Oryctolagus cuniculus: one gene and its partners. The protein of the gene in region 6 purifies or fractionates together with the protein of the main gene of each other region. This does not show direct contact. Links are inferred from orthologs where the notes say so. Each region holds a gene or a part of one and is shown on either strand. Other genes may lie near its edges.

Region 1 (4,698 bases), about 10 Mb from region 6:
CAGCTGCTCCACTTCCGATCCAGGTCTCTGCTATGGACTGGGAAAGCAGTGGAGGATGGCCCAAGTGCTTGGGTCCCTGCACCCACGTGGGAGACCTGGAAGAAGCTCCTGGCTCCTGGCTTCGGATCGGCGCAGTTCTGGCCATTGCGGCCAATTGGGGAGTGAACCATCGGATGGAAGACCTCTCTCTCTCTCTCTGCCTCTCCTCTCTCTGTGTAACTCTTTCAAATAAATGAATAAATCTTAAAAAAAAAAAAAAAAAAAAGGAAGACAATGTAATTAAGTTGGCATGGGCCCAGCAACTTGAGCTGTGTTTCTATAGAGATTTGTCTCGGATTTCTCCTTAAACTGCCTTAGCATTTAAATTTTTAAAAAAGAAGCCTGGCATTTCCCCTCCACATTTACAGTTCAGCACTAGCATCAGTTCTTGGCACCAGGAATCACGCACCGCCAAACTGTGGCCTCCTGGGTCTCAGAGGGGTTCCATGGGGGAGTCCCGGGCAACACTAACGGGCCAGCACTTTTGGATCGCTTGAATCTAAACACATGTGGGAGTACCTTGTTCCAGGTTAGTGACACTCAGACTGAAGGGTCCACGCTGACATCTGTTTAGCATTTCAACTGTGCATTACAGTATGACATACACTACAGCATTGTACTCCTGTGGTTAGTGGCTTCCCAACAACACAGGGCTGGACCCGACTCAGGTCTATGGGAAGTGGAACACTGCTCTAACGTGCTCATGAGCAGGTGGCTCCCGCACACTAACAGTGCATTCACGGCACTGGCTCTTTATGTCTCATTTAGAAAATACTAAATTCACAATTAGTAAATAGTGAAAGCTTGTTTTTTTGAAAGTGCATGAAATAAGAACATTAATGGCCGAAGCCTGAGCATCAGGATTTTAACCAGTTCCTGGGTGAGGCTTGCAACTTCCAAGATCCCTGTGCAGAGTGAGGCAGGGCAAGCAAAGGTGGGCTGTATTCTATCAGCTGTTACCACTTCACACAAGGAAAATGAAAGCAAGGTCTTCCCATGCTTTCTTAGTAATTCACAACCTCCCCATGGTTCCCTCATTAAGACTTTTCAGCCTTATCTAGTGCTGCTTACCCAGGTCAAAGAAAAAAAAAATGGGGGAGGGGTGGACAAATAAGCACTTGCATATAAACAACTGCAAAGATACAACCACAAATTGCTTGGAACACATTTTCCGTAGGATACTTTTGGGGGGCTGCCTTGCTGCCTGCACAAGCATCCCATTTGGGTGGCGGTTCGAGACCCGGCTGCTCCACTTCCAGCTCTCTGCTAATGTATCTAGAAAAAAGCGGGAGGTGGCTCAAGTGCTTGGGCCCCTGCACCCACATGGGAGACCCAGATGAAACTCCTGGCTCCTGGCTTCAGCATGGCCCGGCACTGGGTGTTGTGGCCATTTGGGGAGCTGAACCAGCGGATGGAGGATTTCTCCCTCTCCCTCTGTAATTCTGCCTTTTCAAATAAGCAGAGAGATAATGTTTTAAAGCCATTTCTGACTGCAGTTCTCCATGGGAAGAAGAGCAGCGCATGGCCACCCCTCACAGGAGACCCGGCAGCTCTGGCAACGCTGGTCTTGACAAACCCAGCAGGTTTCCTGGAAGATTTCCGAGGCCTTCTAAGAACAGCGGCCATGCTACAGTGTCACCAAGAACAGGGCAGTGCCAGTCACAAGAATCGCTAAAGCGGCCCCACTGCACCTCGACCTTGGAGCAGAAACCTTTGCAAGCTTACCACCTGTCTTAGGAGGGAGCTGGAAACCTCCCACCAGGCCCTCTCTCCTCGCCCTGCTTGAAATGCCTTTTCCACAGGTCTGGGCACCTGCCAGGTGACCGTCTGACTGCCCAGTGCGGGCCAGCTCTCATCCTAACAAACAGGCACATTTCTTCAGGGCTCCTGCCTGGCCTGGACTCACTCAGCAGCACCCCAACCGGATTCACACGGGACTCCCCGCCAAGAAGGCAAACTCCACCCGGCCAGAGCCGCCTCTGCTGTGTCTCCAGGAGCTCACAGCCTTCCAAGCCTGACGCCTGCTCCCCTAATGCCCTGCACACGTTATCTGTTGCCGGGAAGGAGCGGCAGGCCAGGACAGATGGTGACAGGCGGATCTGGCTTGAGGGATACATTTTCTTTTGAATTTGAGCCTCTCCCTGGGGCTGTAAAACTCCAAATCAAAGTCTTAATCTGAGACTGTACACATTTGAAAGAGTCCGGGTTGATAAACATTTACTCAACACTAATAAAAGGTACAAGTTGTTGATCCTGACTATGCAGGACAGAAAAAAAAATTTTTTTTTTTTTAACAAGGCGCCGATTCCAAGGCGTTTACGATCTTAAAAGAATAGACGAGCCCCCTTGTAACTAGCCAAATGCAACCTAGAGAGGCTATAAATAAAGCAAGAGTTATCTGGGAGGAAGAGATAGATTAATCTATTGCTAACTCCTCCTTTAATCCCACGGCAAAGACAGTAAATCCAAATCCGAAAAGGTCAAAACTGGAACATCCCGAGGAGCTCGCTGAAATCCAGAAGTCGCCCCCTTCGCAGGGGCTAACGTCACAGCCGCAGGCGAATCTCAAGCTACCCAGAGAGGAAAAACACTCAGGGTACCAGCGCGGAGGAAACTTGGAAAAGCAGATCACGTAAACAGGCCGTTCACAGCCTCGCGTTCCCACCCAGAGACCCCCGAGCCCCCCGCCCGCGGCCCCAACGCTCGCGCTCCCCGCAGATCCCGGGCCCGAGCCCCCGACGCCCCCCGAGACCTCTCCCCGAGCGCAGGTTCGGGTCCCCACGCCGCAGAGACCCGAGCCCGCTCGTCCCCCGGGCCTCCTACCGTAGGTTTCGGACATGGCCGTCTGCGACATCTTGGGAGCGGCACGGCCTCTGGCCGGGTCACGGCTGCAGCTGGGGTGAGCGGCGGGAAGGGAGGGCCGGGAGGTCTGTGTGCCGCGCGTCCAGACGGCGAGGGGCGTGGAGCGGGGTGGGTGGGGAACCCGAGGAGGGAGGGGCCGGACCGGTCCCCAAGGCAACCGCCCACCCGCACCGCCGCGGCCCTATAGGACTCCGGCTCCGCGCAGGCGCACGGCCCTCGGCCCTCGGCCCTCCTCCGGCCCGGGCCTGGAGCTGGAGGAGGAGGAGCAGGAGGAGGAGGAGAAGGAGGAGCCAGGCCCCCCCTCCCGCGGCCGCGCGTGCGCATGGGGAGGCCGGGCGAGGCGCACAGGCGCGCGCGGGCGCACAGGGCGCGCGCCAATACGCACAGCTTCCATCCACTGGTTCACTCCCCCGATGTCCACAAGGGCGGTGGCTGAGCTGAGGCCAAGAGGGGAGCCAGGATCCCAATTCGGGTCTCCATGTGGGTGGCAGGAACTCAGTAACTGGAGCCATCTCCACTACCCCCCCCCGGGGGGGGGCACATTAGCAGGAATCTGGAGTCAGAAGCTACCGCTTCGTATGGAACCTGCCTACTTTGATAGTGTTAGGAAACTGGCACAGTTTTAGCCAGGTGGCCACATGGCCCAGCTACCTGAGCCAGGCTCCACCCCCATCCTAATGGGATTCGCTGCTCCTGCTTCCCTGCCCGCCCTCAGGCAAAGTTTTAAAAGGGCCTGTTCCTGAACACGTGCTCTCTTGGGCTCTGCTCCCTGCTCTCTTGGCCCTTCTCTCTTGCTCTCTCTCGGTTCCTCTCTCTAGCCTCCTCCTCTGGTCTCTTGGCTCTTGGTTCTTCTCTCTTGGCTCTGCTCTATCTTCTCTCCTTGCTAGCTCCTCTCCTCTCTGTTTCTCTCTTATATTCTCTTTCTCTCTTTTTCCTTCGCAGCCCCTTCACTCCGGTCTGTAGGGTGTTCTCCAGTAAACCCTTTCCCTTACTCCGGTGTCCGGTGTGCTTTGCGACGGCTAACATTAATATATAACAAGTGGAACAAAGGTGATGTGGAAGGGAAATAAACTGAAAGATAAGGAGCTGAAACATTTTTTTTTTAGACATTTTCAGAGGCGTTGTAGGCCTTCAGAATTCTGCAGTTTCAAGCCACTCTATCTCCAGCTGAGTATAAACACTGCTTTTCAAATGATTGATGTTTTTCCTTAGCAAAGACCCACCCAAGTCTGGTTGCAGCTGGGCGGGGGAGGTGGGAGGTTCTGCGCGTGCGCGGCGGCCCCGCCCACTGGCGCATGGCGGCGGTTGCTCGGCGACCGTCATCCGGAGCTGAGGAGTTGGAGACCGCGGACCTGCCTTGCGGGGACGTGGTGGCCAGACGGCTCGTTTTCTCGGATTTTGGGCTCCGGAGGTGGCGGAAAGCCGCCGTCCGCTTCAGAAATGAAGCGATTTCTTTCCTACTCAGCCATGAGGCGCCAGGTGCTCCAGACGTCCTCCGACGGGCGCGGGAACGGGCTGGAGGTTCGACCCCAGTTCCGTGGCAGCATCGTGGAGGAGGAACTCGGGGAGCTCCACAGGGCTGCCAGCGAGGGGGGACGCGTACAGGATTCGCCTCCTTCTCCTGCGTCGGAGAAGCAGAGTTAACGACAGAGACGAGGGCAACAGGTAACGGTGCGCAAGCCGGCGGGGCGGGCGGACGAAGCGCTCCCCTCCCGCCTCTCCGGTCCCTGCGCGGTGGCCTCGCTTCCCGCACCCGGGACGGGGACCCGCTGAGCGCCCCGCCGCGCCCAGGTGTAG
Region 2 (4,895 bases), on a different chromosome or scaffold from region 6:
AATTTCAAATGGGTAAAACATCCATTCCCCATAGCTAACAAGGATTATCTATCTAATATCCTGGAAGATCCCCAAGAAGTCGGATGAAAGAAAATCTACCTTCCACCACCCTTGTGAGCAGGAAGGAAATGAGGGAGCTATTTCAGAGAAAAGAGCAAGATCTCAGAGAAATGAGAAGAAAGTGTGAGACAAGTGTATTTGGAGTCAAATGACTAATTGTCTCTTTCCTTTCATGCTGACAGAACGCCTATCAAAACAGTTGTCTAAAGATGGCAGATTCCCATGTTAAAAACGATTTAAACATTGCAAAGCACAATTAAGCTTAAAACGTATCTTCATGGCAAGACACAGACACACACCTCTATCTAGCACAACGCACACTCCAAGCCTAGGTGTAAAGAACCAGACCTTTGCTATGACCGAGGGGATGCTTCCTGTGACGTGGACGAGCTCATTAAGTGTGGTCAGCTGCACTAGGGTGGGCCTTGTCCAGCCTGCTGAGAACAGCACAGGAGCTGGGGAGGGAGTGGCCCGCCCACTGTGTCCTCTGCAGTGTAGTCACCTGTGGATGGGGTGAGACTTGGGCAAATGGATATGGCTGCTAGAGATGGGACTATGTCCATGTCTGTGTTTGCAGTCAAGCGGACACTTTGCTGAAATGGTCTCACCACTCACCTGACCAACTTCAGTTCAACTACAAAGCGTTACGGTTTAGGAGCATAAATTCTGCTATTTGAAGACAGCAGCGTGCCACCACTTCCTGTTGGGGCTCTGGGACTAAATAAGAGGCATGGGCTTTTCCCCTCCTCCACATCAAACGAAGACGTGGCCCATGGCCTCTTCTTACCATCTCCACCACGCAGAAAATACAAAGACCCACAGCTCCCAGGAGATGCACCCCAATGAACGCCTACCTCCTCTTCTAAACTGTCAGAGGACACTGGGTTTCAGGCTTGAACAGCCTCAATCTTCCAAAGAACCTCGTTTCCATCACAAAAAAAAAAAAAAAAAAATCTCATGAAAAGTAATTTCTTAAAGCTACTCTTTTGAAATGAAGAAGATACCCTTACAGGAAATGTGGGACAAAAATGAAGGGGAAAAAAAGAGAAAACTGACCAAACTACTCGAAGCAACCAAAACTTATCCCAGGAGCTCGGCAGGGACAGCATCCGAGAGATCTGCTCACTCTCCAGGCGGGAGGACGCCTCTGGGAGGGTCACACACAGGAAGCGCGGAAGGCCACCCACTCGCGTGATAAAGCTCACGGTCTGCACTGCAGAGTGCGCTCATCAGTGGGATGGAGTTTCGTGGGGGTTTTGGAAGGAGTGCCCGTGTCCAACGTTAACGCCGTCAGTTGCTGTATCAGCTCCCACCAGATCTCTTAGGAAAACACTTGAGAGATGACATTTAGAATCTGCTTCCTCAGAAAAGAAAAAGTCCCACTCAAGACTGACTGCCAAGAACTTGCAAACTCAAACTTCCCCACGCCCAGACATCACAACACCAAGGAGGTTTCAGGCTGTTCAATCCGTACGAAAGAGGCCGGAGTCAAGCAGCAAACCGTAGGTTCTCTCGGTCTTGAACTGAAGAGGGCTCCATACTCAGGTACTTTTTTTTTTTTTTTTAAGGCAATTATCCTCACAAACACAAGTACATAAACACACTTATTACCAAAGTACAAGCTTTCCATTATTTCCCAATCCAGAAACTCATGCAGAGAAATATTTTAAGAACCATTTAAGAGATGTCTAAATTAGCTACTTCTAGAGGCCAGAAACATCTCCCAGACGGCCCAAAACCGATTCTTAAAGTACTTAATCTACTGTAGCCATTTAACTACAGAAGTGAGGTTAAGGACGCTTGTACAGCCGGGTAAAACCAACTTCGCTCCGCTTTTCAGTTTCTGATAAGTTAGAGATCTTTTTACCCGAACCCATTTCTTCCAGTAAAAAGGGAGGAAAAAATTAGTGTTGCATCAGTTGGAAGTAATTGGGGTACCGGTATATTGCAGGTTGTGATTGATTTAACAAGTCATCATTAGAACCGAAACAAAATATACAGAGTGGCAACAGAAAGCAAGATCAATTCCTTGGTTCAGAAGTTGTTAAGCATTCAAGTTCCCAATTAAAAAAAAAAAAAATCCAGCCGCGTTGCTTCTCAGGAGACAAGAAGGGGCGAGCCCTATTTTCCTGACCACATCACTCCCCGAAGTCAGCAATCCCCTTAACGCCCGTGCACACTGGGAACAACTCAATGCTCCACAGATAGCATTCCATCAGTAGTCACTTTCTGCTTTCTCCTGCACTGGACCCAAAGCAGCAGAGACGACGGTAAGCCGGAGCACCCAGTAAGACCGCGAAGTCCCGCACCCCTCTCACTGCCCACCTTGTCCGCCTCGCCTGCCCGCTGCTGCGTTCCCTTTCCACCCGCACCCCGCCCGCCTTTACTTTTCCAACCAGGTAGCCTCATCCCCCCTTCCTCCCCGCAACTCTTCTCCTGCCTGCAGTTCTCCTCGGCCTCCCCCCGCCCCCCAATCTCTGCCCGCACCTCTGCAGCCACCCCCCCGCGCGCGCCCTCCCCTCCGGATCATTCATTCCCCTCAGCCCCCTTCTCCCCGCCGGGTCCTCACCTCCGTCCCTTGTGTCCTCTGCCCGCCCCTCTCGTTCCCCCAACCCTTCCATTTCCCCTTCACATTTCCTTTCTCTTTCCTGCCCTCTAATCCATTCGCACATCCACGAGCCCCTTCTCGCTCTCCGCGGGATCCCCGTGTCCCCTCCTCACTCTGTCCCGCTGGGACCCTCCCTGTCAGCCCCCGCGCGCCCCCGTCGCCCCAGTCCTCCCAGTCCTGGCTCCTCGGGTTCGCCTTCCCCTGCCCTGGCCCCCAAGTTCCCCCTTCACGCCCAGGGCGCACGTCCCCCGCGCGCCCCTCTCCCTCACGCTGTCGCCCTCTCGCACGGCTCCCGCCGCCCCGCGGTCTCCGCTCCGGGGGCTCCCAAGCCCCTCGGTCGTCCCTCCGGCCCCTTCGTACCCACCCTCCAGGTCTCACCCCCGTCCCGGGCCGCAGCCCCTCCCTCACCGATGGTGGAGATGAAGGTGGTGTTGAAGGCGTCCTCGGAGAAGCGGAACAGGAGGCAGGTCTTGCCCACCCCCGAGTCGCCGATGAGCAGCAGCTTGAACAGATAATCGTACGTCTTCGCCATCTTCTCGCTCCGGCCCTCTGACCGGGGAGCTCGAGGAGGCGGCGGGGAGAAGCGAGGAGGGGGCCGCGGGAGAGGGGGCGTGCCCGCCGCGCCGCCACTCGCCCCGCCCCGTGCCCCGCCCCGCCCCTCGGAGAAGGCCTGCGCTCCCCGCCCCGCGTAGCCAATCCGCGAACGCTTCGTCATCACCGCCCGCGCCCCAGGGGCTTCATGGGATTTGTAGTCTCTCTGGCGGGGCGCTCGGGCGTGCCCAGCGCGGACAGTCCAAGCGACCCCAGCAGATAAAAGATGTCTGGGTGGGGTGACCGGGTGGAGTAGGCGGTGCCGCTGGAGCTGGGAAGGGAGGCTCCGTTTCGAACTCTGCTCTCGTCGCGCCGCCGGAATGGAACTCCGTTGTTTCTTTGTGTGCGGAATCTGTCTCGCAGTTCCCACATCTCTTCCGCCGGGACCCTGAGTGGAGATGCTCGTTTTCCTCGGGGCTGCCAGGACGCAGCCTGCGATTCTGGGCCGGGTGTGTTATTCGTCTGCTCCCCCGGCTCGCATCCGCAGCAATGCCCTTGCGCCCCCTCCGCAGCCCCTCGGCCCCGGAGCTGGGCGGGAGAGACCCCCGTGCTCACCGGAACCTTCCTCTGGCCCCTTTCTCCACGTCTCAGGCCAGAGCCAAAGTCTACTCCTCCCGGAGAGCATGGGCCACGCAGGCCGCTCCCTGCGCCCTGCAAATCCGAGAAGGCTCGTGCCACACATCTGCGCCCTGCAAAATTTCGGGCCTCGTGTCCTGAGAATTTAGAGGATAAGACTTTGTTTCCGTCTGGGCTCCGTCTCCTAGCTGCTGTGACAAGGCACGCGGGCTGCACGGCGGCAAGGTGTATTGAAAACATGCTACTTTGGAGGTGTGCAGAGAACATTAAATGAGATCCTGAAAAAAAGTGAAAGCACTTTGTTCCGTTCATCCCCCATCACTCATTGGTGACAAATGACGAGGGAATACTGTTATATGCGACTCAACTCTTTATTGCACATCGTCTGACTCATTCCTCCGTTTTATGAATCCACTACTGAGTCCTCTTTAATTCGCTCGTGGTAGAAACCCCTCCTGGAAAGGGGAGTTTACTGGTGCAGGTAATGTGGAAGAGAGAAGCTAGGGAGGCCCGGCCTGGGAGCTGCATCCTGGAGGGGCTTCCTCACTCTCCTCCCACCTTAGTTTTAATTTCTAAAAGGGGTGTGGGCGCTGTTGGTAGGGGGTTAAAGCTGGGGCCTGCAGCACCTGCATCCCATATGCGCACAGGTTTGAGTCCTGGCTGCTCCACTTCTAATCCAGCTCCCCGCTGATGCGCCTGGGAAAGCAGTGGAAGATGGCCCAGGTCCTTGGGCCCCTGCACCCACGTGGGAGACCTGGAAGAAGCTGCTGGCTCCTGGCTTTGGATAGGTCCAGCTCCGGCCATTGTGGCCATTTGGGGAGTGAACCTGCTGATGGAAGACCTCTTTCTCTACCCCTCTCTGTAACTCTGTCTTTCAAATAAATAAAAAATAAATATTTTGTTTAAAATGTCTAAAACGGCAAATTCAACAGGTAAAACCCACATGACAGTAGCTCCTTGGAATCCACAAAGATATTTAAGAGAATAAAGGGGTCTTGAGATCAACAATGATAAATATTTGAGAAACACTGGCCCAGACACCTACCCTTCAGGGGTGGGG
Region 3 (4,855 bases), on a different chromosome or scaffold from region 6:
CTGGCTTCGGATCAGCACAGCTCCTACCATTGCGGCCATCTGGGGAGTGAACCAGCGGATGGAAAACCTCTCTCTCTCTGCCAACTTTGTCTTTCAAATAAATAAATAAATAAGTCTTAAAAAAAGAGCAGCTGCCCTTGGGAGCAGGGACCCCTTCCGCCTGGGGCTGGACCCCACGCAGCGGCAGGTTTGGGGCGGGGGGGGAGGGAAAGACTGCGCTTCCTGCCCCTGCCCTCCACAAGCTGGAGGACTCGCCCAGGGCCCCCGCCGTCCTGAGCCCACGGCCTCCTGGGACACAGCCCTCGCATGAGTGTCGCAAGGGGACAGACCGTCTCCGGCTGCTGCCAGCGGCGTGAGAGCAGACGCACAGCCTGGGCTCTTGCTCACACCGGGCTCCCGGGCCTCCTGGTCAAGGGCCCTCCAAGTGCCGCCCCTGTCTCACACAGGAAGCCACAGGTCCAGCACCGCGGCCACCCAGCTGACTAAAACCCCGAGGGGCGAGTCTGGCGCGGAGGGGAAGCTGCGGCCTGGTCCCACCGAGCCCCTGCATCAGGGTTCTGGAAGGCTGGCCTCCCTGCACGTGAGCCTGCACACAGTCAGTCCCCTGTCAGGGCAGAGGCCAGGATGACGTGCGAATCTCGGACTAAGGCAGGGAGGCACAGCTGGCGACAGGGAGCCCCGGAGTACCTGGTCGGTGACGTCATACACCACGATGATGCCGTGGGCCCCCCGGTAGTAGCTGGAGGTGATGGTCCGGAACCGCTCCTGGCCGGCTGTGTCCCACTGCAGACAAGCGAGCAGCACAGTCGGCCCGCGGCCCAGGCCGCAGCCCCCTCCCCGGGGCCCTCGGGCGACACTCACGATCTGGAGTTTGATGGTCTTGCCGTCCAGCTCGATGGTGCGGATCTTGAAGTCCACCCCGATGGTGCTGATGTAGCTCTCCGTGTACGTGTCATCCTAGGGCCGGGGCCAGCGCAGCGCCTCAGCCACGGGGCCCCAGTGGGGCACAGGGGAGCCCCAGTTCTCAGCACCCCAACGTTTGGGCCCTGTGCCATTTAGTCTGATGTGTGACTGGTGGGTCCCACGACTTCACCCTGGGTCCCCAGGTCTCGCAGCCACTGTGCTCTGGGGGGCCCTTCCCCCCGCTGCCAGCTGGGACCCCAGGCTGGGGGACGGGAGCTTCTACTCACAGCAAACCGCAGGAGTAGGCACGACTTGCCCACGCCCGAGTCGCCGATCAAAAGCAGCTTAAACAGGTAGTCACTGGGAAGAGAAGAGAGAGTGTGAGGGCAGGCAGCGCACTGCTGCCACCCTGGGCTCGCGGCCGCGGCCCCCCAGATCTCCCGCCAGGCCTGGCTGGGGGAGCGCTGCCCTGGACGCGACAGGGCGCCGGGCGCTGAAGGGCGGGATGCTGTGAACCAGAGCCCGGTGCCGCCGCTGGGACTTTTCCCAGGACTCCAGACCTTCCCGGCCCGTCCAGTGGCTTGGCAGGGCAGGCCCCAGAGGGAAAGCTGAGCTCAGCCCGGAACCTGCTCAGTGACAAAGCTGCGCGCACAGCTGAAGTCGCCACGAAGAGACCCCAGGCCAGGGAGGAGACTGAGCTGCGAGGGGGCCCCAAGGCGGGGTCTCACCCACCCCGCACCGCGGCCCGGGGGGCGCTGCCCGGGGAAACCTGCAGCCTCCAGCTGGGGCAGAAGAGGGAAGCGGCAGAGAGGAAGCAGAGCGCACCGCGGGGAAGTCCGAGTGCAGAGCCGAGCCGGCAGCGAGGCCCAGAGCCGGCGCCGCGAGGCAAAGGCCGCGCCACGGCGCCCGGGCCCGGCAGCAGCGGGACAGCGAAAGCAGGGTGGCAAAGGCGGGACGAGGCGCGGGAGACCCCGCGAGCGCGAGGCGCGGGAGACGGGACCAAGCGCCGCCCCGGGCCCTGCGCCTGGCCAGCCTCGGCCCCAGACCGGGGAGGCGGGCGCGGGCAGGGCCCCAGGGCTGGCACACCTGCACTCCAGGGGCCGCAGAGACAACGTGGAAGCCGGCCTTCCGAGCCACCTTCGAAATCCTCACGGCCGCAGGGGGCTCACACGGGCTCCCCACGCTTTCCAGGAATTCCTCCACCACGCCGGAATCCCGACTCCGCCGGGACAGCCCGCGCCCCGCCTTCCCGGGCAGCCCCCTGCCCATCCTCCGGGAGCCGCACCTCTCGGTTCAGACAGACGACGGAGGACCACCGCCCCGCGCCCAGGGGCTGGGCCGCTCGGATCCCGCCCGAGCGCACTTTTGCGGGGCTTAATCGACTTCGCTTCTCGCTTGCCTCCAGGGCTCTGAGCCCCCTCTCCGCCAAGCTCCACACCCCAGGCGCTGCTCTTCTTCGCCAAGAGCCCGACCCAAAAGAGCCGAGTCTGAACCCAGAAACCGGCGTGACAGGCTCCGCACAGCCGGGGAAACTGAGGCCTGGGGACGCCGGGGCTGCCGGGTCACCTGACCGCGGAGGCCTGCGCGCCGGCCGCGCGGCTCCCAGCGCTGCCCTTGGGGCTGCCGCTTCGGGCCCCCGCTTCGAGGACTCGGGGGTGTCAAGACGGGGTCCTGGGCCCCCGGGGGGAGGGGCGGGACCCGGATGTGTGTATGTGTGGGGGGGGGGTGTCAGTGGTAGAGGGACCCGGATGTGGGGGCGCCGCACAGTCCTGACCCGGGCCAGACAACTCCGGAACGCGTACAGCCCCGTACTCGGGACCGAGGCTGCGCCAGACGGCGCGGGCGGGGCTCACTCACTATTCGGGGTTCATGGCGGCGGCGGCGGCCCGCTCGGTCGCTCCCAGTCGGCTCTGCTCCGCCTCCCGTTCCAAGATGGTGGCCGCTCCGCCCCTGAGGCCCCGCCCGCGACGCGCAGGCGCACACGGTCCCGACAGGGGCCTCGCCGCGCTGCTTACTGGAACTTGTAGTCCCCCACGGTGCCCGACTCGCCACCCCCCACGGCGCAGGCGTCGCTGCGAGCCCACGCCTGTCCTGCCGCGCACTGCCTTCTGGAGCTTGTAGTCCGCTTCCTGGTAGCCGCGGGCCGAGGACGGCTCGGGCTGGCGCACCCGCCTTCTCCCTCTTCGGCTCCCAGGTTGGGAGCTCTGCGTGGGAAGGTGGCGCCGGTCATGCACTAGTCAGAGCTCCTCACGCACAGCCACGGGCCCAGGAGGATGTCCTCACACTAGTTTTATAGGTGGAAAAAAAAAACCGGGGCTCGGGAAACTCGCTCAAGGTCAAACCCGAGGACGGCCGATCTCGTTAAAGACCGGGCCGTCTGGGGCGAAGGAGCGAAGGCTCTCGAAGAAACCCCGAGCCGAGCAGCGCCCCCCACAACTGGGCTGGGGCAGAGGGCCTGGCCCCCGTGGGAGACACGCGCAGCCTCTCCCACCCATCCCAGCCTGGGGCACCCGCGGCCTCCGTCTCAAAACAAGCCCAGCACAGATTCAAACGTCTTTATTTCTCCAGTTACATCTGAAAATGGCGCGACCGCCTCACCCCACCCCAGCTGGGGAGCCCTCCGGCCCCGGCGGGAAGCTGCAGGCGCGGAGGCGGCGCCCCGGCGGGGCAGTGCATAAGGCCGGGCGCGGCGCGGGGCCGGCGGGCGAGGAGGGCTCCGGGCTCTCCGTCCCGGGACACCGGGCGATGGCGAGCTGGTGGCGTCCCCTGGAGGCCGGGAGGGGCGGGAGCAGGTCAGGGAGCCCTGCGGGGCGGCGCCGCTCGCGGGAGATACTCCGCGCGCGATGGGGGTGATTAAGGCCTGGGCGGTACCACTAGAGAAGGGCCGGGAGTACCGGGACGGAGGGCAGGGGCGCGGCCAATAACTTATTTCTCTATATACAGAAGCAACGGCCGGGGGAGGGCGGGGCTTAGTGTTCCGGGCTCCGGATCTGGGCGAGGCGAGCAGCCAGCCCCTCCCACGGGCCTGGCAAGGGGCTCTGCTGGAGAGAATAAATACGGGGCAGCGCTGGGCAGCCAGGCCGGCCTCCAGGGCTCAGGCTGGGACGACGCGGGGAGGTTACCCTGAGATTGAACAGAAAAGACAGGGGTCCTGGGGCTGGGCAGGCGGGACGAGCAGCGGGCCCATGCGAGCGCTGGGGCTGTGCCGGGGGGCGGCTCTGGCAACTGGCTGCCCCTTCAGGCTTAGCCCACGAGGGAGCTCCGTCGGGAGAGGTCCATGGAACTGGAGCTGAGGGTGCGGCTGTCAGAGAGCCCCGCGCCGCCAGGCTGCGGACAGAGGGGGCCCTGGTGAGCTCCTGCGGGTCAGGGCTGCGTGCACGCTGGCACCCACCGTCGCACAGGCCCGAGCAGGCGGGCAGGGACGCGCCCGGGGCACAGACGGCCACCCGCCCCTACCTGGGCTGGCTCCTCCACGCTCTTGTTGAGGAAGTTGAGGGAGCTGGCCCGCTTCATCCTGAGGGAAGAGGGCGCCCTGGTCTGCGGGGGAGCTGGGGCAGGGTGGGGGAGGGGAGCCGCCCTGGCGCCGGGGGTGGGGCCTGGGCGGGTGGCAGGGGCTCAAGGGGCTTAGCAGGGTGGTCCTGAGGGGCTCGCTCGGTTAGGGGCTCACCTGGGGTTGGGCGGTTCCTGGGGGCCACCCCCCTGCAGCTTCTTCACCAGCATCTCGCTGCTCCGCCTCAGGGCTTCGCGGAGCTTCCCGAAGGAGCCGCTGCGCCGCAGGGAGCCGCTGCCGTCCTGCGGCACAGCACCAGGCTGTCTCCAGGCTGCGCCGGCTGCGCCGGCTCCCGGCCCCCCAGCCCCAGACTCACCCCGCTCCACTCGGCCGCAGGCCCTGCCTCCTCGAGGTCCGACTCCGCGCGAGGCCCGGCCCCCCCGGCCACATCCCGGCCGCGGC
Region 4 (4,808 bases), on a different chromosome or scaffold from region 6:
TTTCTATTAAACAACACATTTGGAGAAAACTAGCCTGAAGGCAAATTCTTTTCTTACCAGTATCTAAAAGTGCTCATTTTTTTTCTTTCTTTTTTTAAGATTTATTTGAAAGGCTCAGTTAGAGAGAGGGAGAGACAGAGACAGGTCTTCCATCTGCTGGTTCACTCCCCCAAATGGCCACAACTGAAGCCAGGAGCCAGAAAAGCTTCTTCCAGGTCTCCCACGTGGGTACAGGGGCCCAAGCACTTGAGCCATCCTCCCAGCTTTCCCAGCAGGGAGCTGGATGGGAAGTGCAGCAACCAGGAATTGAACAGGCACCCATATGGGATGCTGGCACTGAAGGTGGCAGCTTACCTGCTACATCACAACCACAACCAAGGCTCCCAAATGTGCTAATTTTCAATTTCAAAGGAATTAGCAAATATTTGAAGAGCACTTTTCAACCTATTCACATCTTTAATAAAAATATGATTATATGCTTACTAATATACTAAATATGATTTCCTCTCTAAAAATGTAGCTATACTTCACTGAGTTACCTCATATAAGAAATTCGCCTTCCCTATAAAATTTTAGTTTTTATGAGACATATTATTGACAATTCACTAATATATTGATATCTTAATTCTAGACAATTAAGTTCACTTCTTGGCTTTATCTAAAACTCCAGCTTTGAAGCGTCTTTAACAGTACATGCTGATATATTTACAGATGAAATGATGTTTAAGCTGCTTCCAAACATAAGGTACAGGGGCTGGCACTGTGACATAGAGGATAAAGCTGCCGCCTGCAGTGCTGGCATCTCATACAGGTGCTGGTTCGAGTCCAGGCTGCTCCACTTCTGATTCTGCTCTCTGCTATGAACTGGGAAACCAGCAGAAGATGGCCCAAGTCCTTGGGCCCCTGAACCCTCATGGGAGACCAGGAAGAAGCTCCCGGCTCCTGGCTTTGAGTCAGCGCAGCTTAGGCTGTTGCAGCCATCTGGGGAGTGGACGAGCGGATGGAAGACCTCTCTCGATCTCTCCTCTCCTCTCTCTGTGTAACTCTTTCAAATAAATAAATCTTAAAAACAAACGAACACACACCATAAGGTACAAATAAAACTACTTCCCCATACTGTCCCAAACACAGTAAACTTGGGAGTTTAATCCTGGTAGTACCAATTTCTGTCTGGGCCAATTTTTTAATTTTCAAACTACATAATTTGCATAGTTGCCAGTTAATCACGTGATACAATATATATAATCTCTAATACAGTACCTATCATACAGCAGGGTTTGAATGGACAACTAAAGTGGCCCTTTGGTTACATGTCAAACACCAATAGAATGTCGTATAGGCAGAAAACGCACCAATTCGCTTTCAGGAATAAACATAGTTGAAACACTTCCCAACAGCCTCTTATCTACAAAACTGCTGATCATTTATCAAGGATACCATGTTCTGAATTTCTACAGTACTTCTGAAAATTTAGGGAAAACACCAGACACCCATAAAAAAGTCAAGCAAAATTGTGATTTACGTTTGCCTTCTAAGTTTTGAAGCCACTGAATCCTTATGCTACAAGGATCTCTAACAGGAAATAAATCAAAAACAGCGTAATATTAACAAGGTAAAAACTGCGTGCATTTACTCGTATTCACACTTACTGAGAATTCTCCCAGTTTTGCCAAACAAGGACTTTGCATTGTATGCATTTTTAAACTTGGAAATAACTAGTGTTCTGTAGTGCTCTTTTGCTCTTTTTAGGTCCTCTTTGATCAAAAAATCACTGGGTACTCATTCTGTGCCTGGCATGGTTACCAAGTACTTTGCTTACAACAACCCTAAGTGTTCAAACTATCTGCATTCGACAGTGAAAAGAACAAAGTTTCTGAGGAGTCCAGAATATTCCCGGAGTAGTGTAACAGTTTGATTCCACTTAAGCCAGGCCAAAAAAAATCAAATACGTAAACTAGGATGCTAGGAGCTTAAAAAGTCTGAAAGTCTCGAGGGGCTGACCAGTTCCCAGGGAAGACAGCATCAGGGCAGGTCTCCTGGTTTACCCACCAAGGGAGCTGTACGGCGGCCCAGTTACCTTTAATTTCCTTAAAGCTGCGGCTCGCCACCTGCCAGTCTCCAGAGCGGTTGTCTGGCTGAGCCTCCCAGCCCTTCCATTACCCATCTTTCGAAGGTAGGCGGAGCTCCCCAGATCCACACCTGCCCTAGGCCCCGGTCCCTGCTTGCAACACCTGAGCAGCTGAGAGCCGACTCCGGATCGCCCGAACAAACAGTACCCGCCAGGGCTCTGGGCCGTCCCGCCACCCTCCTCCCTTAAACCTGCACGGCTCTCCCTGGGACCCCCGGGCTGTCTGGAGAGGCCGGGCGGAACCACGGCCTCCGGTACTCTTTCCGCGGCGCCATCTTGAGAAGGGAAGAGGGTGACACCCGTCGGCTCCCTCACCCAGTCCCCAAATCGCGGTCTCCACCAGAACCCCTGGCGGCATGAGTCACCAGGGCTGGCAGGCCGACAGGCCCGGGTGCGGTAGCTCTGTGGTCCCGGAGACGGGCGCAAGTCGGGGAGGACGTGCTGGGGGCCCCGCCGCCCGCACAGCCGCGGGCAGGATGGAGACCGCGGCTCAGCCCAGCTCCAGACCCGCTCTGCACAGGGGAAGGCTGGTCTGGTTACCTGCGGCTGCGGCACGCGGGGCCGCGGCACCGCAGCTTGCTGGCGGCAGGGAGCAAGCGTGGCCCGAAGGACGGCAGCGAAGCGGAGGCTGTGGCGGCGACGGCGGCGTCTCCTCGCGTCGCTCGCCTCACACCGGACCGTGCGGGGCTGGAGCCGTGGTGCCGCCCCTGCCGGGCTCCGTCTCCGCCTCTCCGCGCTCCGCCTTTCTCTTTCCTTTCTCCTCCTCCGCCGCCGGCGCTCAAGTTCCGACGAATTCTTCCTCCTCCTCCTCCTCCCTCCTCCGCCTCCTCCCCTCAGGCCGGCCGCCGGCTCCTTCAAGAACCAAAACACAAACACTCAAGTCCCAACGCGGGAGCCACTTCCGCAGCCGGGCGCCGGCCCCGCCGCCACGTCGCTGCGCGCAGCGAGAGACGCCGCTTCGTCACTTCCGGTCGGCGCCAGTCCGTCCCGCCCCATCCGCTTCCCCGCCCCTCTCGAGGCGCACCCAGCCCTACCGGGGAGGGGGCGGGGCGCGGCGGGCTGTCACGTGGCTCTGCGCTGGGGCGGGTTTTACTGCCTTGTTGTGTCTGCGCCACGCCGGTTGCGCGCGACCGCGCCCTCGCAGCTCTTTTGTCAGCAGGGCGGAGGCCTCTGGGCTCCTGTGACTGGGGCTGGGTGGGGTATCCCGTGCTGCCCTGCTTTGGGGGAAGACCTAAGGCGCTTGAGTTTGTTGCGCCCAGCCCTTTGTTGTAAGTGTGAGCTCACAGTCCCCTCCATCCCGCCCCGCACCACCCCAATCCTGGTGACTTGGCCTAAGGGGTTTTTTTGAGGGAGGTTGTAACAGGAGACACGCCTACTGTGTCCCTGAGGCCAGGTGTGTCTGTAAAGGAAGGTAAGTCGTTTGTACCGCCGGCAGGAAGCTAGGACCCTCTGCATCCTAAAGCCGTCTTTAGTGGCAAAGCATTAAAACAGTTGGCACGTAAGAAGCGCTTACCTGTTTTTGGTAGGGTACATGTTAAGCAAACCTGTTGTTCAGATTTCCCTTTGGGAGTTACAGTACTAAACGTTTTACAGTAGGTACAAGTCTTTGTGAAACCAGCTTGTGAATCGTCGTGTGGGCACATTAACACTAACTTCCCAAACTGGTCCTCACCTCTGTGAACCTGGCTAGCACGTGGCCAGGCAGCTAAGAATCTTCAGGCATGGCTTTGGGATTAATGAATGAGGCGTGCCTGCTTTACAGGTAACGCGCTCGAAGCACAGAGATTGTGTAACTTGTACAAGACTGGGAATTCTTTTTAAAGATGTATTTATTCAAAAGGCAGAGTAACAATATTTCTTCCATCCACTGACTCACTTCCCAAATGGCTGCAATGGCAGGGCCTGGCCTATGCTGCCAAGAGGCTTCAGCTCCTTCCTGGTCTCGCAAGAGAGTATCAGGGGCTAAGTACTTGGGCCATCATCCCCTGCATTAGTAAATAAGGATTGGAAGCAGAGCAGCCTGGGTTCAGACTAGCTGTTCAAAAGGAGACTCAGCATTGCAAGTGGCAGCTTAACCTGCTGCCTGTGCCTTGACCCTCTGTGCTGCGTACAATACAATGCTGGCCCCAGAATGTCAGTTCTTATACAAAGTTCCGGTGAAAGACCACAACCTGAGCTGGTTGTTGCCCTCTGCAGCAGATCCTCTTAAGCATGCTTTGGTAAAATCCCAGATCATAGTTAGTTTCTGGAAAGCGTCTAAAACCAACCCCTCTCCCCTTGATCGTTGCTTTTTCCCCAGAATAAGGGATGCTTTGCAGTTTATAATTTACAACTTACAGTCCTGCTGTGAAGGCATGAATATTGTCTTTGGAGTGTACCTGGGCTAAGGTATCCTGTGAGTGCTCGGTCAACATTGTGCAATGAAGATGATTTGAACCCTTGACTAACTAGCTCGTCTTTCAGCACCTCCCCAGTTACTAGAAGAGCATAATATGGCATCTGTGAATGGTATCTGTGGCACTGCATCCTGAAAGGCCTGTTCTGATGTTGCATAAGTCATGGTCATAGCTCTAGGACGATCCCAGAAAGAATCAGGAAATAGGATATGTCATGTTAGTCTTGTCATGTCAATAGCATGTCCCAAGCCAAACCTATTCCACTGCAAGCCTGTTTGCATTGT
Region 5 (4,448 bases), on a different chromosome or scaffold from region 6:
AAGTGTATTTTGAGGAATTGGTTTTTTAAAAAGGAAGTAGAACCAAAGCACTTTTCAAATGAGTCAGAGCTTGTTGGTCAAGTTTTACATTCTTAAGAGGCAGGTGTTGAGTACTGTACAAGGCTCAGTCTGAGCATAAAGGCAGCAAAGCAGTGAGTTGGAAAGTGAGGCTCCTGGTGCAGGGCAACACCTCCCATACCCGAAAAGGCTTCTTGTTGAACAGGGAGCGTTGGCCCTGGGTACCCTAACCCATGAGCCTTCAGAGACACTTGGACCTTTAAGGCCTGATACCTTTGGGAGAACCTCGGGAGTCTGCTTCCTGCCTTTCCAGCAAGAAGCTGTCAGAGGAGGAGTATGGGAAGAGCATTTGGTACCAGAGTTCATTTTCCCCTAGGATGCTCACGGTCCTGAGCTGGGGAGCAGCCCCCTCATCTTACAGAGGAGTAACTCAGGCTGAGTGTGTGGCTGCCTTTCTAAGTAGCTAGCTGGGATCCAAATCTGGATCCATGAGACCTTTCTGTCTTGCAGAACTGAATGACTTTCCTTCCATTAAGCCACACTGTGGAATGTCTGGGAAGCTCAGGATCTGAACAACAGGCCTGACTCACAGGCCCAGGCACGACAGACGCGGTCAGGCCTACCAGGCCCCCTTATTATCTAAGCAGGGCTTGCCCCTGCTGCACAGGCTGAGTGCTCTCCTTGCCTTCCTCTGCACCTAGTAGGAATGGTGAGCTTTGTAGTGCCCCGACCCCAGCCTCTCACTGAAGAACAGCAAAGAACCTCTTGTTTCTCCAAGGGCTCCTCTGCAACCCGGGGCTGAGGTTCCTTGGTTTCCAAAGGAAAGTAAGAGATAGGAGGAGCCTTAGTATAGAAGTGAGGCCAGGCCGGTGCTCTCAGAGCTAGGTGTCTTGACACCGGGTCCACACAGCAGGGAAAGGGGCTGAGTGTGAGTCACAGTGCACTGACTTTATTTACAGATCAGAAGCCACTTAAGTAATCTGCAGATACAAGTGTTGTCCAGGGCAGAAGCCTGGGGTCCAGATCGGTCCTTAGCCCTCCTCATGCCCACAGCCAGCCCACACTGCCTCCGTTCCATGGGCCAGCACAGGCCGGTGCCACCTCTGCTGCCATGGGGACCTGGGGTAGCTCAGACGTTGGACCACCTGAGCCCAGACAAAAGCTGGGTCCAGCCCCCTGGGGAATTCCACTATTCCCCAGGCCAGGTGAGTGGCGAGTCAGTGATGACAACAGCTGTAGAAGTAGGGGTTTGCCTTCTGGCCCAGATCCACGCCCTTGTCCTCTGTGAAAGAGAGGTGGCAGCTTAGCACCTAGCTCCGTGGACGGGGTCAGGCGGGGCTCGGCGGGGCTCGACGCCCCGGCTGAGAGGCGGTCCGGGGGAGCACACACCTGTCATCACTTGGAAGGCAGCCACGCTGACGTAATCCTCGGCCACTTTCTGGAAGAGCTCGTCTGACAGGAAGAGAGGGCCGGTGAGGGCCCAGAGGGCTCGTCTACTCTACTGCCTGGGGTGCCCCTGCCCGTTCCTGCTGCGAGGCCCCAGGACCAGCACTCACCCACACTCTGGCCTGTCTTGCTAGACGTTTCAAAGAGCTGAGCTTTGATATCTGTAAAGAGAAGTGACGAAGCCTCACACCTGAGAATCCAGTAGACAAAGAGGGAGCCTAGCAGTTCAGAGTCTCCCAGACCCCAAAGATGCAAGGAAGCCAAGCAGGTACCTTGCCTGTAGCCCACCCAAGCAGCCACTCCCCGCCCGCATCCCACCCCCTCAGGGGCTGAGCAGCAGCTACTGTCTGCATAGTCCTGGACATCGTGGAAGTCCACACGCCGCCGCCGCCGGTCCTCCTCCAGCAGGTCGCTCTTGGTGCCACACAGGTAGATCTGACAGCCCTGGAGCAGAAGCCAAGGTCAGGGTGGGCTCCACGGACCCACTGAGCTCCCACCCCCAGGCCCCCATCCAGCCAGGTGTGGCCACCCACCTCCTCCAGGCTACGCAGCTCCTTCACCCAGAACTTGGCTCGCTCAAAGCTGTTGCTGTCCGTAAGGTCTTGGCGTGGGGCATGCAGGAAAGGCGAGCGAGGGTCAGGGGTTGTTCTGAGGCCCGCCAGGCACCCACACCTTGCTTGAGGAATAGGCCAGAACCCCTCTTACCATAGCAGACGATGGCAGCCTTGGCGCCCCGATAGTAGATCCTGCTCATGGCCTCATAGCGTTCAGAGCCTGCTGTGTCCTGAAAATCAGGGGAGGACTGAGCCCCGGCCTGGGTTACCAGGCTAGAATCCCCCATGACTGCAAAGCAAGCCCCAGCCTCCAGAAGGGGAAACCAGGGCCTGGGGCTGGGCAGTGGCCTCGGGGGCCCAGGTCAGAGCCCCCCTCTGCAGACCTCGCGAACGGGGTGCCCAGGAAACTTACCCAAATCCCTAGAGTCACCGTCCGATCTCCTACAGACATCACCTTGGCCACGAAGGCAGCCCCGATGGTCTGCAACGAGGGGCAGGCGGTCAGGTCGGCGGGAGCGTGCCGGCCCCTCCCCGCGCGGCCGCCCCGAGCTGGCGCACTCACGTTCTGATAGGGCCCCACCAAGAAGCGGTCGTGCACGTAGCGCTCCACCAGGCTCGTCTTGCCCACGTACTCCTTGCCCAGCATCACCACCTTGAGGTCCACGCGGGGCCCGCTCATGCTCCTGGGGCCGCCTCACCCACGGCGGGGTCCTGAGGCACACCCGACCTCCGCTCGGCCCCTAACCCCACGCGCTAGCCCGGCGCTCGAGGCCCCGCGTCAGGCCAGAGCTCGGCCCCCGTCCTCCCCGTCTGCCTCCGCTCTTCTGCCTGCCCCGAGCGCCGGGTATCTTCGGAGAGCCCAAGACCCCGGCCGGCCTGCGAGCGCGCGGGCCAGCGAACCTTGGCCGCGCCGCACGCCGCCGTCCCGCGCTCGCCCTCCGGGTCGCCCGCCCGCCGGCCCGGCTGGGACTCCCGCTCGGGGTAGGCTTCCCAACTGAACCCGGAGTCCCCCCTGAACCCTGCTCTGACCCGCAGCGAGCGCCGCGACTCCGGAGGGAGGGGCGCTAGGCCGAGGGGGCGGAGCCGAGAGGTCACGTGGACGGCGCCGGAAGTGGTGGACTGTGCCGCCGCGCCGGAAGTGGCGCGCGGCTGGCCAGCTCCTCATGGCGGCGGCGGGCAGCGGCTTGGGCGCGGCGCGGAGGTGACTGACCTGAGCTGCGAGCCTGGCGGGCGTGCGCCGAGCCCCGGCCCGGCCTCCGCGTGCCCCCGGGCTCCGCACGCCTGATGCTGTGCGGACGCTGAGTCCGCCCCGGCCGGACTAACGATGGTGAAGTATTTCCTGGGCCAGAGCGTGCTCCGAAGTTCCTGGGACCAAGTATTCGCTGCCTTTTGGCAGCGATACCCGAATCCCTATAGGTACGTGACTCTGGGAAGAGCAACCCCCGGCACCATCTCCGCCCTGTCGAGATCGAAGTGCGGGCGATCCCCCCAAGTAATGGGGCTAAGGGGAACCGCGGATCGAGGCCGACATAGGGCTTTCCGGAATCGTGACCGCCTTAAGGGCAGCAGGCCTTATCTAGGAAGTGGCCGGGCCGGACTCGGAAGGCCCTGGGAGGTGGCTGGGCCTGGGCACTGGTTTGCCAAGGCCCTCTCTGTGGACGTTGGGACGGGAAGAGACGGCCGCACGGGCCCTGGGAGGGATCTTGGGGCTGCAAGTCAGGCACTTGCCCATGGGTCTGCCCGTGCAGGAAGTCACGAGGCCCCGCCCTGCCGGGAAGCCAGGAATCCAGGTCAGTGAGGTAGGGCAGCAGTTGGAATTTGCCCTGGGATAGTCTGAGCCACAGCCCAGATCACTGGGCGAGATTGCAGGGGTGGCGCGCTGGGCAGGGCTGCCCCAAGTGGGAACCCCAACGGGGAGCTTCCCTGGGGGCAGGTTCCCGATGGTCACCTGCACTCTGACACCTGCAGCAAACATGTCTTGACTGAAGACATAGTCCACCGGGAGGTGACCCCTGACCGGAAGCTCCTGTCCCGTCGACTCCTGACCAAGACTAACAGGATGCCCCGCTGGGCAGAGCGACTATTTCCTGCCAATGTTGCTCACTCGGTGTACATCCTGGAGGACTCTATAGTGGACCCACAGAATAAGACCATGACCACCTTCACCTGGAACATCAACCACGCCCGGCTGATGGTGAGACCTCCCCGGGGCCCCTACCCCCACCCCCCGAAGCACACTGCTCAGGAGCAGGTGGCTAGGGAACCGAGGCAGATTCCTGAGGACCGGGTGGCCCGGAGCCTGCCCTGCCCCTGCCCTGACTCAGCCGTGCCCTGGGGGAGAGGCACCTGTTTCAGGAAACTGCGTGACGCGCCTTTGGGTGGGGCCTGCAGGAGTGATGCTGAGGGTGGGCGTCCATCAGATGGCGGCCT
Region 6 (4,124 bases):
GGCATTCTGCTACTTGTGACAATGGCATCCCACATTAGAGTACCAGTTCTATTCCTGGTTGCTCCACTTCCACGCTAGCTCCCTGCTATAATGTGCTTGGGAAGGCAGTAGAAAATGGCCTAATTACTCAGGCCCCCATAACACACATAGGAGACCTGAATGGAGTTCAGGCTCCTAAAGCTTCAGCTGGCCCAGCATTGGCCATTGTGATCACTTTGGGGAGTGAACCAGCAGGCAGAAAATCAGTCTCTCTCCCCGTTTTTCTCTGTCACCCTGCCTTTCAAATAAGTAAATCTTAAAAAATTAGTACCAGACTCCCTATATATTTTTTTAAGATCTTCACAAATCCAGGGAACTGCCTGTTTTAATATAAACCTTAAATGCAAAATAATAATAATAGTTATAATACAGGCAAGATTTAGGGCTGAAACTCAATTCCTGATATGAATCAGAGAAATAAAATTTTTCTAGCACATTTTTAAAATCAAATAAGTGTTTGTATAAAAGCAGCTGTGTCATCAGCTCAAAAACAGTGTAATCAGTTCAACAATTACCTACTGTGAATGGGGACTTTTGTGTTTACCTTGTCTAGTCCATTAATTCCAAAAGGAAGGAAACGAAGGTCCAGAGAGATGCAACAAGTGTTAGATAAGGCACTGGGGCCAGCGCTGTGGCGCAGCGGGTTAAAGCCCCGGTCTGAGGCGCTGGCTTCCCATACGGGCGCCGGTTCTAGTCCTGGCTGCTCTTCTTCTGATCCAGCTCTCTGCTATGGCCTGGGAAAGCAGTGGAAGATGGCCCAAGTTCTTGGGCTTTGACTTCTGCACCCACATAGGAGACCTGGAGGAAGCTCCTGGCTCCTGGCTCCTGGCTCCTGGCTTCGGATTGGCACAGCTCTGGCCATTGCGGCCATCTGGGGAGTGAACCAATGGATGGAAGACCTCTCTCTCTTTCTACCTCTGCCTCTCTCTGTAACTCTGTCTTTCAAATAAATAAAATAAATCTTTAAAAAAAAAAAGATAAGGCTCCTAGTCAACAACGTAAGCTGCAGGATCACTAGAAGCTGAAAGTATCACATGTCCCCCACATGTACACTTAAGTCTATTCACTATAATACAGCATACAAAATTAGGAATTTCAGATGAAATCCAATGTAAATTACATCTAACAAAATCTTATAAACATCTGCTGGTCTTCAATACTCACCTGACTTTCGATTGACTTGGTTTTGTGGAATAATGATCTGGCAGGAGTTGGCATCGTTGGTATTCTTGATGGGATGACTAAGAATGCAGATAACTCTTATCACCTGGCCCACTTTCTCCACCCGATCTTTTACATAGCTGGGGTCACAGATGAGCTGCTTACAGCGAGCAATCTGTAAGAAAACATTGAAGGGGCTGGATCTGTGGTGCTGGCATCCCATCTGGGTACCAGTTTAAGTCTCAGTTGCTCCACTTCTGATCCAGCTTCCTGCTGATGGCCTGGAAAAGCAGCACAAGATGGCCCAAGTGTTTGGACCCCTGCACCCACATGGGAGATCCAGAAGAATCTCCTGGTTCCTGGCTTCAGTAGGTCCAGCTCTGGCCATTGAGGCCATTTGGAGAGTGAACCACAGCGGTTCCTGGCTTCAGTAGGTCCAGCTCTGGCCATTGAGGCCATTTGGGGAGTGAACCACAGCGGATGGAAGACCTGTCTCTCTCTGTCCCTCTGTAACCCTGTCTCAAGTAAATAAATACATCTTTAAAAAAAAAAAAAAACTTTATAAAGAAGACAAATTGATGGAAACAACTGATTGGAAGAGTTAATACTGTTAACATGTCAAAAACCTGTCCTGAAATGTATATTGATTCTCAAGGAATTGAATTTAAGAATAACCTAAACAATATTGAACAAGTCTTGAAAATTCACTAAAAAGCTACAGTAGTCCAGTGTGGAATTAACATAAAAGCATATGGACTAATGTAACAAAAAAGAAAGCCCCAAATAAACCTGCTTATCCACAAATAATTTGACAAAGGTACCCAGACCAGTCTACAGAAAAGATAACTATTTCAACAAATGCTACTATATGGAAATTGTATCCACATGTAAAAGGATGAGGTCAACTCTTGTCTAACACCATATACAAAAATCAAAATAGATCAAGAGACCTAACATCATAAAACTGTTAGAAGAAAACATAAGGCAAAGGTTTCAAGACCTTGGATTTGGAAATTTCTTGGACACAACAAAATGAAATGGGTTATTTGATCCCACAAATATTTTAATTTTTGTGTATCAAGAAACACTATAAAGAGGCAACCCATAAAATGGGAGAAAATTTGCAAATGATATGCCTGATAATGGATTAATATCCATATTATACCAAGAACTACTACATCCCAACAACAAAAAAACCAACCTTATTCAAAAAATGTGGAAAGGATTTGAATGTATCTTTTCCCAAAGACATTAGGCTCATAAGCATATGTAAGATGCTAACCATCACTAATCATTAGGGAAATGCAAATCAAAACTACAATGATACACCACATCTCATACTCATCAGGATAGCTACTATCAAAAATGTTGGCAAGGGCCGGCGCCACGGCTCACTAGGCTAATCCTCCGCCTTGTGGCGCGGGCACACTGGGTTCTAGTCCCGGCTGGGGCGCCGGATTCTGTCCCGGTTGCCCCTCTTCCGGGCCAGCTCTCTGCCGTGGCCAGGGAGTGCAGTGGAGGATGGCCCAAGTGCTTGGGCCCTGCACCCCATGGGAGACCAGGAGAAGCACCTGGCTCCTGGCTTTGGATCAGCGCGGTGCGCCGGCCGCAGCGGCCATTGGAGGGTGAAACAACGGCAAAAGGAAGACCTTTCTCTCTCTCTCTCTCTCTCTCTCACTGTCCAAAAAAAAAAAAAAAAATGTTGGCAAGAATGTGAAGAAATTATGCACTGTTGACAGGAATGTAAAAATGGTATACTTCTATGGAAAACAGTAATGTTTGTCAAAATACTAAAAAAGACTTACCATATGATCCAACAATTCAACTCCTGCATATAAACCCATAACTGAAAGCAGGAGCTTGAGATTTATTTACACACCCATTCACAGCAGCATTACAAAAGCTAAAATATGGAAGCAACCCAGATGTTCTAATGATAGATAAATAAGAAAAAATAGTATATATCCACACAATGGAATACAAATGTACTTCAAAGTGTTTATGGGAAAAGGGATTAACAGCTGAATTTGGTTTGGCCCAAAAATTTCAAAATCCATTCATAGCTTTTTCTTATTCCCATGAAGTTTATGAATTCTCCTTATATTATTTTAGCCTTAAACAGGACACATGCTACAACACAGGTAAAACCTTAAATGCATTACAGTAAGTGAAATAAACCATTCAAAACCAAATAGTATATGATTCCACTTATCTGTTAATACTTAGCAGTCATAATCATGGAATTTATCATGAATATTTACTGTTTAATACGTAGAGTTTCAGTTCTACAAGGTGAAAAGAGTTGTAGGGGAGCACTGTGGATCATCAAGTTAAACTGCGGTCTGAAGTGCCTGCATGCTATACGGGTGCAGGATGGAATTCTGGCTCTTCAACTTCCAATCCAGCTCCCTGCTAACGTGCCTGGGCAAGCAGCAAAGAATGGTCCCAGCACCCACAAGGGAGACCTGGAATAAGCTTTTGGCCCCTGGCTTCAGCCTGGCCCAGCCTCAACTGTTGCAGCCATTTGAGTAGTGAGTGAACCAGTGAATGAAAAGATCTTTAATTCTATCTTTCAAATAAATAATTAAAAAAAAAAGTTATAGATTTGGGTTGCGGTGATAATTATACAAAAACATCTATGAATATATTTAAAATCAGTGACTCACTTAAAAAAAATTTTTTTTTATATTTTATTTATTTGAGAGGTAGAGTTAGAGAGGGAAAGACAGATAGAAAGGTCTTCCATCTGCTGGTTCACTCCCGAAGTGACTGCAACAGCTGGAGCAAGGCACCAGGAGCTGCTTCTGGGTCTCCCATGAGGGTGCAGGGCCCCAAGCACTTGGGCCATCTTCTGTTTTCCCAGGCCATAACAGAAGCTGGATAAGAAGAGCAGGGGGACATAAACCAGCGCCCATATAGGATCC

What was found.
Region 1: the proteins of GDI2 (region 6) and RAB4A purify together in Homo sapiens (co-immunoprecipitation; 3 studies listed by BioGRID and IntAct, with this or other methods). This does not show direct contact. The link is inferred for Oryctolagus cuniculus from reciprocal best matches to the Homo sapiens genes GDI2 and RAB4A.
Region 2: the proteins of GDI2 (region 6) and RAB8B purify together in Homo sapiens (affinity purification with mass spectrometry; 3 studies listed by BioGRID and IntAct, with this or other methods). This does not show direct contact. The link is inferred for Oryctolagus cuniculus from reciprocal best matches to the Homo sapiens genes GDI2 and RAB8B.
Region 3: the proteins of GDI2 (region 6) and RAB1B purify together in Homo sapiens (affinity purification with mass spectrometry; 3 studies listed by BioGRID and IntAct, counting the BioPlex papers as one, with this or other methods). This does not show direct contact. The link is inferred for Oryctolagus cuniculus from reciprocal best matches to the Homo sapiens genes GDI2 and RAB1B.
Region 4: the proteins of GDI2 (region 6) and RAB5A purify together in Homo sapiens (affinity purification with mass spectrometry; 3 studies listed by BioGRID and IntAct, counting the BioPlex papers as one, with this or other methods). This does not show direct contact. The link is inferred for Oryctolagus cuniculus from reciprocal best matches to the Homo sapiens genes GDI2 and RAB5A.
Region 5: the proteins of GDI2 (region 6) and RAB24 purify together in Homo sapiens (affinity purification with mass spectrometry; 3 studies listed by BioGRID and IntAct, with this or other methods). This does not show direct contact. The link is inferred for Oryctolagus cuniculus from reciprocal best matches to the Homo sapiens genes GDI2 and RAB24.

Annotation. Positions count from the first base shown.
Region 1 is NC_091444.1:90,047,019-90,051,716, reverse strand, and holds the start of RAB4A (ras-related protein Rab-4A), read right to left. Parts: upstream 3,164-4,698; 5' UTR 2,894-3,163; coding exon 2,863-2,893; intron 1-2,862. UniProt on the Homo sapiens protein: The small GTPases Rab are key regulators of intracellular membrane trafficking, from the formation of transport vesicles to their fusion with membranes.
Region 2 is NC_091443.1:86,224,690-86,229,584, reverse strand, and holds the start of RAB8B (ras-related protein Rab-8B), read right to left. Parts: upstream 3,306-4,895; 5' UTR 3,201-3,305; coding exon 3,077-3,200; intron 1-3,076. UniProt on the Homo sapiens protein: The small GTPases Rab are key regulators of intracellular membrane trafficking, from the formation of transport vesicles to their fusion with membranes.
Region 3 is NC_091432.1:5,574,606-5,579,460, forward strand, and holds the start of RAB1B (ras-related protein Rab-1B), read right to left. Parts: upstream 2,911-4,855; 5' UTR 2,775-2,910; coding exon 2,761-2,774; intron 1,264-2,760; coding exon 1,191-1,263; intron 958-1,190; coding exon 862-957; intron 784-861; coding exon 688-783; intron 1-687. Other genes in the region: KLC2 (kinesin light chain 2), read right to left, coding at 4,147-4,230, 4,360-4,417, 4,571-4,713, 4,770-4,855. UniProt on the Homo sapiens protein: The small GTPases Rab are key regulators of intracellular membrane trafficking, from the formation of transport vesicles to their fusion with membranes.
Region 4 is NC_091435.1:155,566,337-155,571,144, reverse strand, and holds the start of RAB5A (ras-related protein Rab-5A), read right to left. Parts: upstream 3,178-4,808; 5' UTR 3,163-3,177; intron 3,116-3,162; exon of another isoform or gene 2,981-3,115; 5' UTR 2,669-2,980; intron 1-2,668. UniProt on the Homo sapiens protein: The small GTPases Rab are key regulators of intracellular membrane trafficking, from the formation of transport vesicles to their fusion with membranes.
Region 5 is NC_091437.1:63,301,563-63,306,010, forward strand, and holds RAB24 (ras-related protein Rab-24), read right to left. Parts: upstream 3,071-4,448; 5' UTR 2,698-3,070; coding exon 2,581-2,697; intron 2,500-2,580; coding exon 2,431-2,499; intron 2,249-2,430; coding exon 2,170-2,248; intron 2,066-2,169; coding exon 1,998-2,065; intron 1,909-1,997; coding exon 1,809-1,908; coding exon of another isoform or gene 1,783-1,808; intron 1,626-1,782; coding exon 1,575-1,625; intron 1,471-1,574; coding exon 1,408-1,470; intron 1,301-1,407; coding exon 1,236-1,300; 3' UTR 946-1,235; downstream 1-945. Other genes in the region: PRELID1 (PRELI domain-containing protein 1, mitochondrial), read left to right, coding at 3,343-3,434, 3,987-4,212.
Region 6 is NC_091444.1:79,671,658-79,675,781, forward strand, and holds part of GDI2 (rab GDP dissociation inhibitor beta), read right to left. Parts: intron 1,376-4,124; coding exon 1,204-1,375; intron 1-1,203. UniProt on the Homo sapiens protein: GDP-dissociation inhibitor preventing the GDP to GTP exchange of most Rab proteins. By keeping these small GTPases in their inactive GDP-bound form regulates intracellular membrane trafficking.